3 linked regions of the Xenopus tropicalis genome follow. The protein of the gene in region 1 interacts with the protein of each later gene in a pairwise test. Links are inferred from orthologs where the notes say so. Each region holds a gene or a part of one and is shown on either strand. Other genes may lie near its edges.

The links. The genes of interacting proteins can lie anywhere in the genome.
Region 2: the proteins of sgta (region 1) and pbxip1 interact in binary tests that used the Homo sapiens proteins (3 or more experiments, as listed by UniProt). The two-hybrid records come from large-scale screens. The link is inferred for Xenopus tropicalis from reciprocal best matches to the Homo sapiens genes SGTA and PBXIP1.
Region 3: the proteins of sgta (region 1) and tmub2 interact in binary tests that used the Homo sapiens proteins (3 or more experiments, as listed by UniProt). The two-hybrid records come from large-scale screens. The link is inferred for Xenopus tropicalis from reciprocal best matches to the Homo sapiens genes SGTA and TMUB2.

The regions. Positions count from the first base shown.
Region 1 is NC_030677.2:99,257,394-99,263,529, reverse strand, and holds the start of sgta (small glutamine-rich tetratricopeptide repeat-containing protein alpha), read right to left. Parts: upstream 3,408-6,136; 5' UTR 3,364-3,407; coding exon 3,264-3,363; intron 2,270-3,263; coding exon 2,166-2,269; intron 1,473-2,165; coding exon 1,394-1,472; intron 229-1,393; coding exon 129-228; intron 1-128. UniProt on the Homo sapiens protein: Co-chaperone that binds misfolded and hydrophobic patches-containing client proteins in the cytosol. Mediates their targeting to the endoplasmic reticulum but also regulates their sorting to the proteasome when targeting fails.
Region 2 is NC_030684.2:145,126,958-145,132,973, forward strand, and holds the start of pbxip1 (pre-B-cell leukemia transcription factor-interacting protein 1), read left to right. Parts: upstream 1-2,120; 5' UTR 2,121-2,229; intron 2,230-6,016. UniProt on the Homo sapiens protein: Regulator of pre-B-cell leukemia transcription factors (BPXs) function. Inhibits the binding of PBX1-HOX complex to DNA and blocks the transcriptional activity of E2A-PBX1.
Region 3 is NC_030686.2:18,478,439-18,484,697, forward strand, and holds the start of tmub2 (transmembrane and ubiquitin-like domain-containing protein 1), read left to right. Parts: upstream 1-2,363; 5' UTR 2,364-2,470; intron 2,471-3,472; 5' UTR 3,473-3,475; coding exon 3,476-4,077; intron 4,078-6,195; coding exon 6,196-6,259.

The sequences.
Region 1 (6,136 bases):
GGGGAGGGAGTGCCCTTAGAAGCAGACAGGCAGGCACGGGAAAGGTTAAGCTTGCCTGCTATTTAATTCTTCGTGGGAAGAGCAGAGATATATACACACACACATATTTCTTGTATGTAGATACATACCTGTTGCAGTAGTACACAGCATTTGTTGGGTTCAGTTCAAGAGCTTTTGAGTAGTAGGAAATAGCACTTTCAAAATTTTCTAATTTCATTTGCTCATTGCCTAAGAAAAACAAGATTCTCTGCTCATCTAATGGTACATACACCAAAAACTACCTCTGGCCACAATAATTAAAACACAGATACAGGTTTAAGAAAAGTAATAACATGACAGTAATTCTTTCTCTTTCTATTAATTGATATCAAAATTGCCTTGAGTCTGCAAACTCAGCTTCAAAGTTTTTGAAAAACAGATTTCAATACAGGATTCTGCTCGAGAAGCTCTATTAACTGATGAGTTTTGAAAAAGAACATGTTTTCCCATGACAGTATTCCTTTAAAAAGCAGCTGGAGGTCAAGGTGGAGCAAAAGGAGAAAACAAAGTGTAGAAGTAGGGAGTTTGAAGTGGAAGGGCACAAATACATACAAGGACAAATATGTAAGGGAATTATATTAAATGGACAAAATCAGTGGCAAATGGCAAAGAAATCTGGATTAAGGGTGAAAGGTGAAATGAGGGTGATATAAAGAAAAATATAGGAAAAAAGTTAAGATGTGAATTTAGAGAAGTGGAGATTATATAAACGCCTTTAAATCAAATATCCTTATACTGCCATACTGTCTAACTATGCTACCACAAGTATTTTCTTGTCCCAAAATGTACTCCTTAATGCCATTTTTTTTTTACCAATATACCATGGCTTCTCAATTAATGCAATTGAATATTCTGCATAACCTCACAGTCATGAACAATTAATACAAGGGACAATTTTAAAGGGCATGTCGACCCCAAAAATAACTTTTTGCATAAGAAAAGAAAACATAATTCTAAGCAATTTTCCAATATGAAAAATAGTTAAAAATTTGTAGCGCTTTAAAAGTTATTTGTAAATGTAATTGCTATTGAAAGCAGCATTTGCTGAACTCCTGGTTGTTACTTTCTAATCAGTGTTGCAACTGTCTCCTCCAGCAAGTCAAGTCTGTCAATCTGCTGCCTTGTGTTACATTGTTTCAACAGTCAGAGTCACCAGGGTAGAGAATAGAAAAGGACAGGCAAACACTGCTTTTTAATAGCAATTATAAATACAAATTACTCAAAAATCATTACAAATTTGTAATAAATGTATATTGCAAAGCTGCTTAGAATCTTGTTTTCTTTTATTAGGCAAAAATTATATTTTGCGTTGCCTTGTCCTTTAAGAGATCATGCAACATGTCAAGTGTCCAACCTTCTGTCTTCAATCTTTCAGCTTCTGCTACATCCTCATCACAAGGGGAGGCCAGGCCAGAATTAACTTGCGGAGAGTCCTGAATTTGGGAGGAGAGAAGAAGAATGCTTTAATTAACAGCGCATTAAGTTACCATTTTCCCAAAACTATGGTCTAGACAGCAAACCAATCTTTCTTCTTTGCTAGTTTTAAGTTTCAGTTTACAAAACGGTAAGAAAGCTTAGAATGTAGAGCTACAAAGTCTTATAGTAAAAGCTGTGATTAAAGGAGAAGGAAAGGCTAAATCACGGAGGGGTGCCAAATGTTAGCCCCCCCCCACCAGTGATTGTAATCTCTTACCTGATACCTGTGCCCGGTGCTCCTGTTAGGATGAAATTGCACTGGCCCAGGGTATATGCAAGCTAGCTTTCCTCTTCCTCCTGTCTTCTTTCTTTATAATCCCAGGACAGACACATGCGCAGTTGAGCGGAAAAGCTGGCTTTTCTCTCTACTGAGCATGTGAAGAAGGATCACTAGCTCACATACACACCAGCCATGCAGTTTTCTCCTAAGAGGAGCACTGGTTGGGGGTTTTAGGCAAGCAATTACAATGATTGGGGATGCCTAAGACTTTGGCCCCAGTAACTGTAACTTTCCTACTCCTTTATGTTATCAAGTTTGTAAGAAAGATGAAATATGGTATGTAGACTTTAAAAAGTTTAGAATTTCGCAATTCATTTTTTTCCAAAACAATGCCATTTCATGTCAGTCAATAACTAATTACAAGGATTACCTGACATGTGGCTTCTGTAAATATCTCTTGGAGACTCCTTGGTACAGCTAAGTTACTGTCTTCAATGGAAACCTCAAAGGCTGTCTCCAGGCACTGAATAGCAACTGTAAAATTCAAATTACATAATGCTTCCATCTAGTAATTATACACAAATATATTTAAAGTAATCCAATAGTTCCTGCATTCAAGCATCAGAGAAAGACCAGAAGACTTCCCTGGGATGGAACACTTAATTCATTCAATGCAGGCTTGCATTGAAAACATTTGTGGACTAACATTCACAATATTAATTTACAAACTTGTACATTTTCATTTTTTACAGTTATTAAATGAATGAATCAGGGTGTAATTGAGACTGATCAACAGAAACACTTCCCCACCAGAGGTGCAAGCTAATACAACAACCAGACAGCAGTTTGGAAGTCACAATGGATGATTAAAAGAAGATGAACAGAAAAAAAGATAATCAAACTAACAATAAATCTGAACTCTCACATTCATTCAATTTTACTCGCCCAGGTCAATGATCTCCAACAACCAGAGAGCATTTTCAGTTGCAGGCTGAAAATTGTTACATTAATAATTTAAAAAAACAAAACATTCATAACACGTTATACACTACATAAAAAATCTTAACTTACTCTCAACATCCTGATGGGCTATTTGGTAGCCCCAAATGGACTGCTAGCCTGCAGGAGGCTCTGCTTGGAGTAAATCTGTGTCTGGCTTTCAAACCTGCCTCCAAGCCAGAAATTTTAAAATGGGCACCTATTTTGAGGCCGGTGGAAGCAACATCAAAAGGGGTGGTAAGCAACATGTTGCTTGCGAGCCACTGGTTGGGGATTACTGCCCGTATGCATGGTAAGAAGCATTTAGATATTAGAATGCATTTAAAAGTACTGCTCTCCATCCTCTGGACTACTGCCTGTTAAACTTGCACTTCAAGTATCTGGCAGTAGTTCAGTAGCCCCAGGTGGGTGCAGGCTGAATATCATAAGTTTTATGAAAAAGCAAGGAAAAGAAAAAACTATTTTGTCTCATAAGAATAGTTCCCCCATCAAATAAACAGAAAGATAGAATATGAAGTAACAACCAGACCTTCCAGGCTCTCCTGTGCATCTGAGGAAAGCCCACCATTGCGTAACTGGTCATGTAAATGCCGAATAATGGAGAAAGCTAAGCGTTTTTTGTCAGCCATTGGATTTGTGAACACTTCAAGTGACAAGGTCCGACTCTGCAAATAAACTGGCATTAAAACATAAACAATGTCAGTGAATATGAATTCATATCTGATAAAAAAAAAAATAGATATATTTTTCCAGGTACCATTCAGAATCACCAGTCTTTGCCATTTTATCATTAAGCAAATATTCACAAGTACATTTATACAAATGATTAACAATGCACCATTCTCTGCAGGCATATCCAATAATGTTCGTCATTTTTAGCTCCCCTTGTTCAACAAATACTGTTGTTTAGAGCGGCCACTGGATATGCCACAGGTCTCAAAGGAAAAAGAAAACAGTGTTTATGTACATATGGTCACCCACAACCCATATATCTAGGGCCACACTTATACACATTTTCAATATTTCCACCCAGTTAACAGGGTTTGTATGACATACACACACTGTATTATCTTCCAAAGGTAGACTTCAACATAAGAGCTGCAGCATCTGCTAAAATACCTAGTATTTTTATCACTACGGCATAGCACTTTCAGAAACACCACAGGTCCCTTACAAGACAGGGCATATTTGCCCCTGGGCGTAACTCCACGGAAACCAATCAGATTTTTTCTTTCCCAACCTTCAGCCAGCTGAAAACAGCTAATCACTGATTCGTTGGCAAGGGTTACTGCCAAGGTGCAATTTTGCCCAGTGTTGATAAATGAGCCCAGTGTTGATAAATGAGCCCCAATGACCTTTCCATTGCATGGATGATTAATCAGCTGAAGAATTTTAGGGAAAGCCCAGTTTAAGGGCTGTGGCACATGAGGAGATTTGTTGCCAGCGATTTTTAAAAGAGCGATTTGGCGACAAGACGAGCGACAAGATATAAATCAATGGAAATCGCCAGCGTCAGCTTCAAATCGCCTGCTGTTTAAAATCGCACACAGACCCTTTTCTGAGCGACTTGAGTAAACATGAGGGGGGGTTGACTGTTGAGTGTACCATGGGTAGCAGATCGCCTGGAGCTCAACTCGCATGAAATCTCTTTGTGGGTATTGTCGTGGCGACTTGTCGCCAAAGCACCAGGGGGAAAAAACGCAAATCTCCTCGTGTGCCAGAGCCCTAAAGGCAGTAGCGGTCAGAAATGTGTCAAATGGATGGTACTGTGTCAAATGGATGGTACAGACGTCAACAATGCTGTTATCAGCACATACAGGATCCTGTGGTTCAGTAATGGCTGAGCGGATGCAGACAGGACACCCAGACCTAGGCAAAGTCACCTCCCACACGTCAGAAGCCCCAGCAGTATTAGTACACGTTCGTGTAATTAAACTGAAAAAAGCTCCGGGCCGCCATTGGCACCAATATATTAGTTAAATATATCTCTGAGTCTTTCCATTCCGCTCCCCTGTATCAACATTCTCTATCACCAGCGTGTTCAACAGAACTTCCTGGTCTGTTATATGTCGGTTCCATCATATTACCACAAAATAGTAACACCTATATTAACCTTACCATGCACAAAGGCACCCCCCCCAAAAATCTCTCTGACCCAGTCTTACCAGACACCACTACTCACATGCGAAAGCCCGGAACCGGATTCGGAATCACCTGTCAGCTGTCATACAGGAAGTGGCGTCATTAGTCGGATTCGCGAATGTGTCTCAGAGTCTCTGGACTGCTGCGTTTTTGTTTGTACTATGGTGGTTTCGGGTCAGAGACAATTGTCCATGCTCCTGGAGCCAGGTAGCTAACGTCTGGAAGTATATCGGTATGCACAGGGAACACCGACATTTAATGGTAACATTAATATGAGTTTTGAATAATATAAGAGTATTGGCGCAGTGCATGCCTGGGTAATTATACCAATAAATAATATTACAAGGCTATAATACTTAATGGCTTTCTAACGAAAATATGTGCTACATTGCAGTCGACCAGCTCTAGTTAATTTTCAGAACCCTTGTTGTCATTCAAAACATAGAGGCAAACTAGCCTGTGTTTAGCCTGCTTTTATGTTCTTATTTCCTCTCTCCCATGCCCCCAACAGGGTGTTTGATTATCGTATGTGGACTTAATGGATAACATCTTTGGCCAGAGGGGAAAATAACTTAATGGCCAGATTGGGACATTAATTGACCAGTTGAATTTCACATTCAGTGGGTACAGGATATAGGCAGGTAAAGAGGGTACATTTATTAAGCTTAAAGTGGAATTATCACAAATATTTAAGTTCAATATAAGCTTCAGCATACTAAAACATGATTTTTTCTAAATTTTTTCTAAAATTCTGCCCATTTCTGAAATAATCAAGTTGTTTTTCGCTCTCCTGCTTCGCAGCATCTGTCTCTCTTCTTCCTCTCTCCAAGCAAGAGGTGGGAGCCTGATTTTAAATATCAGATCCAATATATCTCTAGAGTGGTGGCAGTTTCCTTTGCCTAGAAGATGCATTAGAGCTCAATCTTTTAAAACCACCACAGATAGGATTTGTGCCAAAGTTAGCAATTTTGTTTGTGCTAGAATCAGTTATTTGAGTAAGCTCTAAAGGTGGCCATACAGGCACCGATAATATCGTACGAAACCTCGTTTCGTACGATATTCGGTGCGTGTATGGTATGTCGGCGAGTCGACCGATATCGCAGGAAGCTGCTGATATCGGCCGACTCGCCGATCGGACCAGTTGGAAAATTTTGATCGGGCGCCATAGAAGGCGCCTGATCAAAATCTCCTTTCAGCGCTGAATCGGCAGAAGGAGGTAGAAATCCTATTGTTTCTACCTCCTTACCTGCCGATTCAGCC
Region 2 (6,016 bases), on another chromosome or scaffold:
GACAGTAGGGCAAGATGGAGACAGTAGGGCAAGATGGGGACAGTAGGGCAAGATGGAGACAGTAGAACAAGATGGAGACTGTAGGACAAGATGGAGACAGTAGGGCAAGATGGAGACAGTAGGGCAAGATGGGGACAGTAGGGCAAGATGGAGACAGTAGGACAAGATGGAGACAGTAGGACAAGATGGGGACAGTAGGGCAAGATGGAGACAGTAGAACAAGATGGAGACTGTAGGACAAGATGGAGACAGTAGGGCAAGATGGAGACAGTAGGGCAAGATGGGGACAGTAGGGCAAGATGGAGACAGTAGGACAAGATGGAGACAGTAGGACAAGATGGGGACAGTAGGGCAAGATGGAGACAGTAGGACAAGATGGAGACAGTAGGGCAAGATGGAGACAGTAGGACAAGATGGGGACAGTAGGGCAAGATGGAGACAGTAGGGCAAGATGGGGACAGTAGGGCAAGATGGAGACAGTAGGGCAAGATGGGGACAGTAGGGCAAGATGGGGACAGTAGGGCAAGATGGGGACAGTAGGGCAAGATGGGGACAGTAGGGCAAGATGGGGACAGTAGGGCAAGATGGGGACAGTAGGGCAAGATGGAGACAGTAGGACAAGATGGGGACAGTAGGGCAAGATGGAGACAGTAGGACAAGATGGAGACAGTAGGACAAGATGGGGACAGTAGGGCAAGATGGAGACAGTAGGACAAGATGGGGACAGTAGGACAAGATGGGGACAGTAGGACAAGATGGAGACAGTAGGACAAGATGGGGACAGTAGGGCAAGATGGAGACAGTAGAACAAGATGGAGACTGTAGGACAAGATGGAGACAGTAGGGCAAGATGGAGACAGTAGGGCAAGATGGGGACAGTAGGGCAAGATGGAGACAGTAGGACAAGATGGAGACAGTAGGACAAGATGGGGACAGTAGGGCAAGATGGAGACAGTAGGACAAGATGGAGACAGTAGGGCAAGATGGAGACAGTAGGACAAGATGGGGACAGTAGGGCAAGATGGAGACAGTAGGGCAAGATGGGGACAGTAGGGCAAGATGGAGACAGTAGGGCAAGATGGGGACAGTAGGGCAAGATGGGGACAGTAGGGCAAGATGGAGACAGTAGGGCAAGATGGAGACAGTAGGACAAGATGGGGACAGTAGGGCAAGATGGAGACAGTAGGACAAGATGGGGACAGTAGGACAAGATGGGGACAGTAGGGCAAGATGGGGACAGTAGGGCAAGATGGAGACAGTAGGGCAAGATGGAGACAGTAGGGCAAGATGGAGACAGTAGGGCAAGATGGGGACAGTAGGACAAGATGGGGACAGTAGGGCAAGATGGAGACAGTAGGACAAGATGGAGACAGTAGGACAAGATGGGGACAGTAGGACAAGATGGGGACAGTAGGGCAAGATGGGGACAGTAGGGCAAGATGGAGACAGTAGGGCAAGATGGAGACAGTAGGACAAGATGGGGACAGTAGGGCAAGATGGGGACAGTAGGGCAAGATGGAGACAGTAGGACAAGATGGAGACAGTAGGGCAAGATGGGGACAGTAGGACAAGATGGGGACAGTAGGGCAAGATGGGGACAGTAGGGCAAGATGGGGACAGTAGGGCAAGATGGAGACAGTAGGGCAAGATGGGGACAGTAGGGCAAGATGGGGACAGTAGGGCAAGATGGGGACAGTAGGGCAAGATGGGGACAGTAGGGCAAGATGGAGACAGTAGGACAAGATGGAGCATCAGCTTGAGGCCTGGGTTACATGGTTGCTATGGGACTAAGGCAATGAACACCAGCAGGACCCACTCTAGGAGCTACTGGTTACACAGTAATACATTGCACCTGTCACTCACCTACCCCAGACCCACCCCCCTGGCCCCAGACTGAGGCTACAAGCTCAGTGGGCGGTACCTGATACATTCTGAGTGACAGCCTCAGAGCTGAACTAGACTAAATACTTTTCTCCCCTCAGCACTGCCCCTGCCACTCACTCACATAAGCTCCTCCCCAGACCCCGCCCCTTCAGCTGTCCGTGCACCTGTCACTTTTCAAGCCGGGAGACACAGGGTTAAGCCATAGTCGGGGGCGGAGCCAGATGTCCCTCAGACACAATGAGACGTTCTGTTTGGCCCCGCTCCCTGGGGGAGAGCGCTGATTGGCCAGCTGGAGTCACGTGGGATGCGAGAACTGGAACCTGTTGCTGTAGAGAAGTTTGTGAGGTGAGTTTGGGGCAGCGGGAGCGGTACCGGCACATTAACCCCCGCACTGCCGGGACATTCCGTCCGTAACCCCCGCACTGCCGGGACATTCTGTCCGTAACCCCCGCACTGCCGGGACATTCTGTCCGTAACCCCCGCACTGCCGGCACATTCTGTCCGTAACCCCCGCACTGCCGGGACATTCCGTCCGTAACCCCCGCACTGCCGGGACATTCTGTCCGTAACCCCCGCACTGCCGGGTCATTCTGTCCGTAACCCCCGCACTGCCGGCACATTCTGTCCGTAACCCCCGCACTGCCGGGACATTCTGTCCGTAACCCCCGCACTGCCGGGACATTCTGTCCGTAACCCCCGCACTGCCGGGTCATTCTGTCCGTAACCCCCGCACTGCCGGCACATTCTGTCCGTAACCCCCGCACTGCCGGGTCATTCTGTCCGTAACCCCCGCACTGCCGGGTCATTCTGTCCGTAACCCCCGCACTGCCGGGACATTCTGTCCGTAACCCCCGCACTGCCGGGTCATTCTGTCCGTAACCCCCGCACTGCCGGGACATTCTGTCCGTAACCCCCGCACTGCCGGCACATTCCGTCCGTAACCCCTGCACTGCCGGGACATTCTGTCCGTAACCCCCGCACTGCCGGCACATTCTGTCCGTAACCCCGCACTGCCGGGACATTCTGTCCGTAACCCCCGCACTGCCGGCACATTCTGTCCGTAACCCCCGCACTGCCGGGACATTCCGTCCGTAACCCCCGCACTGCCGGGTCATTCTGTCCGTAACCCCCGCACTGCCGGGTCATTCTGTCCGTAACCCCCGCACTGCCGGGTCATTCTGTCCGTAACCCCCGCACTGCCGGGTCATTCTGTCCGTAACCCCCGCACTGCCGGGTCATTCTGTCCGTAACCCCCGCACTGCCGGGTCATTCTGTCCGTAACCCCCGCACTGCCGGGTCATTCTGTCCGTAACCCCCGCACTGCCGGGTCATTCCGTCCGTAACCCCCGCACTGCCGGGTCATTCCGTCCGTAACCCCCGCCACTGCCGGGACATTCTGTCCGTAACCCCCGCACTGCCGGGTCATTCTGTCCGTAACCCCCGCTCTGCCGGGTCATTCCGTCCGTAACCCCGCACTGCCGGACATTCTGTCCGTAACCCCCGCACTGCCGGGTCATTCTGTCCGTAACCCCCGCACTGCCGGGTCATTCCGTCCGTAACCCCCGCACTGCCGGCACATTCTGTCCGTAACCCCCGCACTGCCGGGTCATTCTGTCCGTAACCCCCGCACTGCCGGGTCATTCCGTCCGTAACCCCCGCACTGCCGGGACATTCCGTCCGTAACCCCCGCACTGCCGGGACATTCTGTCCGTAACCCCCGCACTGCCGGGACATTCTGTCCGTAACCCCCGCACTGCCGGGTCATTCTGTCCGTAACCCCCGCACTGCCGGGACATTCTGTCCGTAACCCCCGCACTGCCGGGACATTCCGTCCGTAACCCCCGCACTGCCGGGACATTCTGTCCGTAACCCCCGCACTGCCGGGACATTCTGTCCGTAACCCCCGCACTTGCCGGGTCATTCTGTCCGTAACCCCCGCACTGCCGGGACATTCTGTCCGTAACCCCCGCACTGCCGGCACATTCTGTCCGTAACCCCCGCACTGCCGGGACATTCTGTCCGTAACCCCCGCACTGCCGGGACATTCTGTCCGTAACCCCTGCACTGCCGGGACATTCTGTCCGTAACCCCCGCACTGCCGGGAACTACATGGGGCCCCAAGGAACTGTCAGCCAGGGAACTACATGGGGGCCCCAAGGAACTGTCAGCCAGGGAACTACATGGGGGCCCCAAGGAACTGTCAGCCAGGGAACTACATGGGGGCCCCAAGGAACTGTCAGCCAGGGAACTACATGGGGCCCCAAGGAACTGTCAGCCAGGGAACTACATGGGGGCCCCAAGGAACTGTCAGCCAGGGAACTACATGGGGCCCAAGGAACTGTCAGCCAGGGAACTACATGGGGGCCCCAAGGAAACTGTCAGCCAGGGAACTACATGGGGGCCCCAAGGAACTGTCAGCCAGGGAACTACATGGGGGCCCCAAGGAACTGTCAGCCAGGGAACTACATGGGGGCCCCAAGGAACTGTCAGCCAGGGAACTACATGGGGGCCCCAAGGAACTGTCAGCCAGGGAACTACATGGGGGCCCCAAGGAACTGTCAGCCAGGGAACTACATGGGGGCCCCAAGGAACTGTCAGCCAGGGAACTACATGGGGGCCCCAAGGAACTGTCAGCCAGGGAACTACATGGGGCCCCAAGGAACTGTCAGCCAGGGAACTACATGGGGCCCCAAGGAACTGTCAGCCAGGGAACTACATGGGGGCCCCAAGGAACTGTCAGCCAGGGAACTACATGGGGGCCCCAAGGAACTGTCAGCCAGGGAACTACATGGGGCCCCAAGGAACTGTCAGCCAGGGAACTACATGGGGGCCCCAAGGAACTGTCAGCCAGGGAACTACATGGGGGCCCCAAGGAACTGTCAGCCAGGGAACTACATGGGGGCCCCAAGGAACTGTCAGCCAGGGAACTACATGGGGCCCCAAGGAACTGTCAGCCAGGGAACTACATGGGGGCCCAAGGAACTGTCAGCCAGGGAACTACATGGGGGCCCAAGGAACTGTCAGCCAGGGAACTACATGGGGGCCCCAAGGAACTGTCAGCCAGGGAACTACATGGGGGCCCAAGGAACTGTCAGCCAGGGAACTACATGGGGGCCCAAGGAACTGTCAGCCAGGGAACTACATGGGGGGCCCCAAGGAACTGTCAGCCAGGAACTACATGGGGGCCCAAGGAACTGTCAGCCAGGGAACTACATGGGGGCCCCAAGGAACTGTCAGCAGGGAACTACATGGGGCCCAAGGAACTGTCAGCCAGGGAACTACATGGGGGCCCAAGGAACTGTCAGCCAGGGAACTACATGGGGGCCCAAGGAACTGTCAGCCAGGGAACTACATGGGGGCCCCAAGGAACTGTCAGCCAGGGAACTACATGGGGGCCCAAGGAACTGTCAGCCGGGGAACTACATGGGGGCCCCAAGGAACTGTCAGCCAGGGAACTACATGGGGCCCCAAGGAACTGTCAGCCAGGGAACTACATGGGGGCCCCAAGGAACTGTCAGCCAGGGAACTACATGGGGGCCCCAAGGAACTGTCAGCCAGGGAACTACATGGGGGCCCCAAGGAACTGTCAGCCGGGGAACTACATGGGGCCCCAAGGAACTGTCAGCCGGGGAACTACATGGGGGCCCCAAGGAACTGTCAGCCGGGGAACTACATGGGGGCCCCAAGGAACTGTCAGCCAGGGAACTACATGGGGGCCCCAAGGAACTGTCAGCCGGGGAACTACATGGGGGCCCCAAGGAAACTGTCAGCCAGGGAACTACATGGGGCCCCAAGGAACTGTCAGCCAGGGAACTACATGGGGGCCCCAAGGAACTGTCAGCCGGGGAACTACATGGGGGCCCCAAGGAACTGTCAGCCAGGGAACTACATGGGGCCCCAAGGAACTGTCAGCCGGGGAACTACATGGGACCCCAAGGAACTGTCAGCCAGGGAACTACATGGGGCCCCAAGGAACTGTCAGCCAGGGAACTACATGGGGGCCCCAAGGAACTGTCAGCCAGGGAACTACATGGGGGCCCCAAGGAACTGTCAGCCAGGGAACTACATGGGGGCCCCAAGGAACTGTCAGCCAGGGAACTACATGGGGGCCCCAAGGAACTGTCAGCCAGGG
Region 3 (6,259 bases), on another chromosome or scaffold:
AGTCCCTTTTCAGCCTGTTAGTTTAAACCATATAATGCCAACAGCCTACTTCTGCACAAATATGGCAGACTAAATATATATTAACTGAAATTCAATTTAAAGATGAACAAGCTCTTTTTGTATGATGCAATTGGTCTTAATTTTTTTTGTAGGAGTCAAATAATAAATGTTTTTTTTTCTATCAACATGGCTTAATTTTCATCAAGTTAAATAATAAGCAGCAGCTCCTACAGTTGTACCCAGAAGCATTGCAGGCAATATCTGCAAAAAAATGGCAAGTCTTGCTCTTATCCTCTGGCTGACAATCTGCCCCGTATGGCTGATAATCTGCCCCATATGCCCTTGCCATAAGAGCAAACCCGCATAAAGAACGCAGGCATAGAAAAGCAGACCGTATATTCACTTTATACATTAAGATATACTACATACATACATGCATACATTCATAATAGGAAGATGATCTATATTGGAAGACACTATTAGATTTAAATGTTGTAATAGTTTCAAATAAAATTTTATTTGCATTCACTGAAAACAAATGCTTCTCCTTTTTCAGGACCAAAATAATGCCTTCCTGCTTAGTTAAACAGTGCCATAGCTGGCACCAATTGGTCTGACATGACCTGTCCTTCATGCCATGCTAATTACTGCTCATAATGCCATAATGAACCACCCCTTTAAAATGAGGAGTGAAGAATATAGTACTATTGCCAGTTATTGTGCCCAGTCAGTAGGGGTAATGCCAACTAAACATGACCTGCCTATCAGTGCTAGGTACCACCTTCATCATCCTCGTTTTATTTTCCATGCAGTCACTTTTCTGTGTTTCCCTAGGGTCACTGTATGCAGTTGGCCTGCAATAAATATGGCAGCCGTGTGTTAGATCGCATGTGGACGGCATCAACCTTAAGGGTCAAAGATGAGATAGAGCAGAAGCTGGGTATGTCTGCTATACAGCTATACTGGGGTGATCCAGAGATCCCTTCCTGTAATACGGCATTATATTTGATATATTCTCTCTCTCTCTCACACAGTCGAGAAGCTCCACCAACTGCAGAACGATCCTGTCGGTCACCACATCGCCCGCAACTTTGCCCTGACGCACTTTGTGAAGCGGAGGAAATACTGGGAGGAGCGCCAGCTGGGGGAGAACAAGCGCCGAAAAATGTTTTCTGAGATCCTGGAAGACTGAAGCGACATCTGAAAAAACTGACTTACAGCTCTAAGCCATTGCCAACATGGTGCCTTGGTGCGGAGTTTGACAGTTCAAGCCAGGACTTGAATCAGTCATAAATCTGCCAATTGGTGGTTCTGGAAGTCTGGATGTTACAACAGAATCCCTTCCCTTGTTGATTAACATGCAATGAGCTGGACTCTATCATGATATGGAGCTTATATTTATAGGGCAGTGGTTCTCAACAAGCTAGTTGAAATACTTTATTTCACTAGGTGACAGCACTTCTAAACCGGGATAAAATGACAGCCTCTTTTACAATTATGATTAGTGATGAGCGAATCTGTCCCATTTCGCTTCGCCATAAAATTTGCGAAACGGCAAGAAAATTTGTAAAACGGCAAAAAATTCACAAAACGCATTAGTCACGCTATTTTTTTTTGTTGCCCACGTCTATTTTTTGTCGCCTGTGTCTATTTTTTTGTCGCCCGTGCTTTTTTGCTGCACCCGCGCCTTTTTGATGTGACCATGCCCGATTTTATGTGACAACGCCCTTTTTGACGCGCAACGAAAAATTCCGTAAAAACAAGTAGGATCTATCCTACATGCACTATATTTTATAATTCCTATGATTATTCATTTTCCAACTAGAACATAGTCCAACTATATAAAAAAAGTCTATTTCCTTATATGCAAAGGTACACTGTTCCATTACCAACTAGGAACTAGATATATCTGACCATATTGTCTAGTTTCTATTACTGTTCCTTTTCCCACTAGATTTTAGCCCAACTTACACTGAAAGATCTATTTCCTAGTCTGTAAAGCTGCTCTGTTCCACTAGCAACTTGGAACTAGATATGTCTGAAGAAATTGTCTAGTTTCTATTACTTTTCCCTTTCCCACTAGATGTTAGCAAAACTACACTGAAAGATCAATTTCCTAATCTGTAAAGCTGCTCTGTTCTATTACCAACTAGGAACTAGATATATCTGAAGAAATTGTCTAGTTTCTATTACTGTTCCTTTTCCCACTAGATTTTAGCCCAACTTACACTGAAAGATCTATTTCCTAGTCTGTAAAACTGCTCTGTTCCATTAGCAACTTGGAACTAGACACAACCCGCCAATCACTGCCAATCGCTACTCTCTTCCTACTTCCTATTTCCGGCCAGCTAAAGTGACGCTGTGTGGTGACGTTTCCCCGGGCGCGTAGTTAGTGACGCAACCTTCCAGATACGGGTGGGCCCTTGTGAACTCGGGTTTGGGCAAAGAGGGATCCAGGCGAAGCCGGGCGGTAAGTGACACGCTTTTGACGTCACGTCATATTTAGACCCGCTCAGGACTCAGGAGCCGTGACCTCACCCCCTTACGTGTATCACCCCCTTACGTGACATCATCACACCCGGCCGTACCATTGTAGCCTCGACTTCCTAGCGTTTATACGTGACAGGCACACTGTAGCCCCATTCAGACTATGATTCCCTGACTGAGTTTGTGTGCTTGTATAGGGTTTTGTTGATAGGCAATGCCATTGGTTCCACTGTGTGTGCTGCGGTATTGGTGCCATAGTCACTCTGTGACTGCTCTGAAAATGAGTGGGAGGCCAGGTGACTGCTGAGAGAGAAGGAATTTGGGGCCTTGTCTATCAAGGGGCTGAAGGCTGATGCCCTGTCTCTGCAGTGTCTGGGCCTTTTATTGTATAATATCATACAGAGAGACCCCTGCTTCAATGTGTGGGAGGCCCCTATGTGGCAGTGGATTGTTGGTGGCATCCTGTGTTTGTGGTTTCAGATAGCTGGGGGGGCTGAATGTGGGTCATCTTTGTATTCCTACCTGCCCGCACAGTACCCCCTTTTAGCTTACCACTCAGGGGCAATCTGGCCCATTCAGAGTCAGCAGCGTATCTACCTGTATATGGGGTGCTCTGTTGGGCCTGCCAACCAATACCTGGCTGGAAATTGAACAGATTTCGATCGGCTTACTAATGCCTTCCTAGTCTCGATGGCCTGCGTTTCATCATTGTCGTATGATTGGCCAAAACAATCGGATGGGCCCAATACTGCCCACCTCATATAAGATCTGCTTGTCTGGTGACCTTGCCAAACAAGCAGATCCTTACATGTATCTCTAGCTTAAGAAGTACATGTTACCTGCAGCCCTCCTTCTGCTGTTGGATGATAGCTACCTGCCCTTGGCCAGTAGATATAGTTTGCTCAGTGTGCTCACGGCCCCTAGTAAAGCATGGTGGGCACTGTATCTCTTTCATGTAACATGTGACCATCTGTCCTTCTTCTAGGAAATGGGCATGGAGTCGCCCCCGCCAACCATGATAGAGGGTCTCGGAGATGAGGTAACAGTAGCAGTTGGTCTCTTCATCCTACTCCTAGCCATCACCTTGGCATGGCTTTCAACCTACGTTGCTGAGGGAAGTGACCCCCTTTTAGGAAGCTTAATCCCAACTGGGCGCAGGGATCCTCTCCTGGTACTCAGTAATCCAGTACCTGCCAGTCCTGAACCACAGAGGCCTGCGGAAGCCCAAGCTGAGAAACCAGAAGAAGGAGAGCAGGATCCTGGTGGAGAGCAGGAAGCTGGCAGTGAAAATGCTAACCTGGATCAGATGCTGGATATTCAGGGGGTATCCAAGCGCAGCCAGGCTGTGCCACCACTGAGAGAGGAGGATGGCACAGAGCAGGATGTGACACAGGAAGATGATAAAGAAGCGGAAAGCCCTCTTATTGTGGGTAGAAAGATAGAACAAGAGGAGGAAAAGCCACTTGCAAAAGAGGGGATGACTCGGGAGAAGCCTGAAGAAGCACTCATGACAGTCAGGCTTAAGTTCCTGAATGAAACAGAGGAGGTGGCTATGGTCAGGCCAAACGACACCATTGGGATGTTAAAAAGGTGAGATAGTGAGGAATTGGGATACAAATAACAGATAAAGAATATAAACCAGATTAAAGGTGGTCAATAAAAGCTGACAACTGGGTTCCTCCAGGACAGTGCTGTCCAACTGGCGGCCCGCGACCCCCCTCTGTGTGGCCCCCCACCTGTCTGGCTGCTTTGATGGCTTACCTTTGAGTAAGCATTAAATGGTATCAGTACTGAGATTAACTGGCCCCCTGCATGGTTCTCACCTCAGATTCAGGCTGTAATCCCTCTGTATTGTTTAAAAATGTAATCCCCTGTGTTTTTCACACCTTTTAATACCTGCATTGTTCACACCTCAGGCTCAGACTGTAATCACTCCCATTGTTCACTTCTTCACACCTCAGACATAGGTACTGTAGGCAGAGTATGGCACACACAGGCAGCATAGGTCAGGGAGGGTATGGCACACACAGGAAGGGAAGGGCAGGCAGAGTATGGCACACACAGTCAGGTTAGGGCAGGCAGAGTATGGCACACACAGGCAGGGTAGGGCAGGCAGAGTATGGCACACACAGACAGCATAGGACAGGCAGAGTGCTGTCTGTGTGTGCCATACTCTGCTTGCCCTATGCTGCTTGTGGGAGGTGAACCTGGCAGGGGTTTGTTGTGGGAGTTTGTTAGCAGTTGGAAATAGCCATTAAATGGTCCCTAAGGTGTGAAATTATGTACTGGGGGTTGCTCTGCTATCCACAGGGGAAGAGGAGGCATATGAAATTTAAGGTTATATCTTAATATGACATAATTCTTTCACATATGAATGATGGTTGATATCCCCACAGTAAGAACCAAGCATTTGGGATTTTGCTGTGCTACCACCATTGTGATAAAATAGGTGTGGTTTGAAGTGGGTGTGGTTTCAAAAAGGGGAGTGGTCAAAACTGGCTTCCATTAGCGGCCCTCCACCATGTATGCTAGAGAAATTCCGGCTCTCGGCACCGTAGAAGTTGGACAGCACTGCTCCAGGACAATGTGGCAGCCTATTGGCCCATGTAGGAGGCCAACCAATATCTTTCAGGTTTGAAAATCCCATTAGACTAGAACCGCATCAACACATTGATGCAGTCCTCATCCATTGTGTCTTCATAGTCCCTGCTCTATGATCTGCCCATTGGCCCTGCGCATGAGTGGCCAAATTGGGTTGAGCGTGAACAGATTTCAACATGTATGGCCAGATTAAAGCTAATCTCTACATATCCAGCCTGTAACACCTCTAAGACTGTGGTTGAACAACCACAGCATGCACTTGGCAGGTGTATTTCAGCAATAGCTGCAAGGTTGCGAGTTGAAAATGTAACCTATACCTGAACAATTGACTGCAGTCACTGGTATCATATAATATGTACATAGGTTCTGCAGTAGGCAGTGCTAGTCCATGCCTGTAGGTAAATACTGCAAGGTCTGCTCCATAGTAGATACAACTTGACTGCATTATCATGGATGAGCTAATGGACAGAGCTTTAAAGTAATAGTGACACCTTTAGTTTTGTGATTTAACATTTTCTTTGATAGCAGTAATAACTATCAATAACAAAATCACTGACATAAACCTACCAATTCAGTATAATATATTGCCGTAAAAAAACACTCCACTTCCTCATATGAAGAAGGCTACTACTTTCCTTAGGGGGCTTTATTCCTGCTGTTTATTTCTTTCAGACCCCTTCTGTGGTCACATAATATTAGCTGACAACACAATTTAACTGCACTGCCATATTCTTTCTGCCAGTCAAGTCCAACACGCTCTTAAAGCAGAATCAACCTTTGTCCAGTTAATCTAAAAGAGAGGTCAAATTGAGGTTAAAATGGTTTTGAAGGAGATATAGGCAAATATAGAAGTGTCCCTATCCCTTTAAATTGCCATTTACCTAATAATGGAGGAGGAATTGCACAGGTAGCAGCAGAGAAAACCTTGACTTTTACAAGTGCACTGAGAATGCAACAAAAAAAGCAGTTCACACAGATACAGTTACAGTATATATATATATTATTTTTGCTATATCTGATGACTCCTTTTTCTCTCTCCCTTTCTCTTTTGCCTATTCTCATCTTATTATTCTACCATCTCTAATCATGTGACCTCTGGTGCAACAGCAAATACTTCCCAGGCCAAGAACAGCAAATGAAGCTAATTTTCCAGGGGCAGCTCCTCCACGAC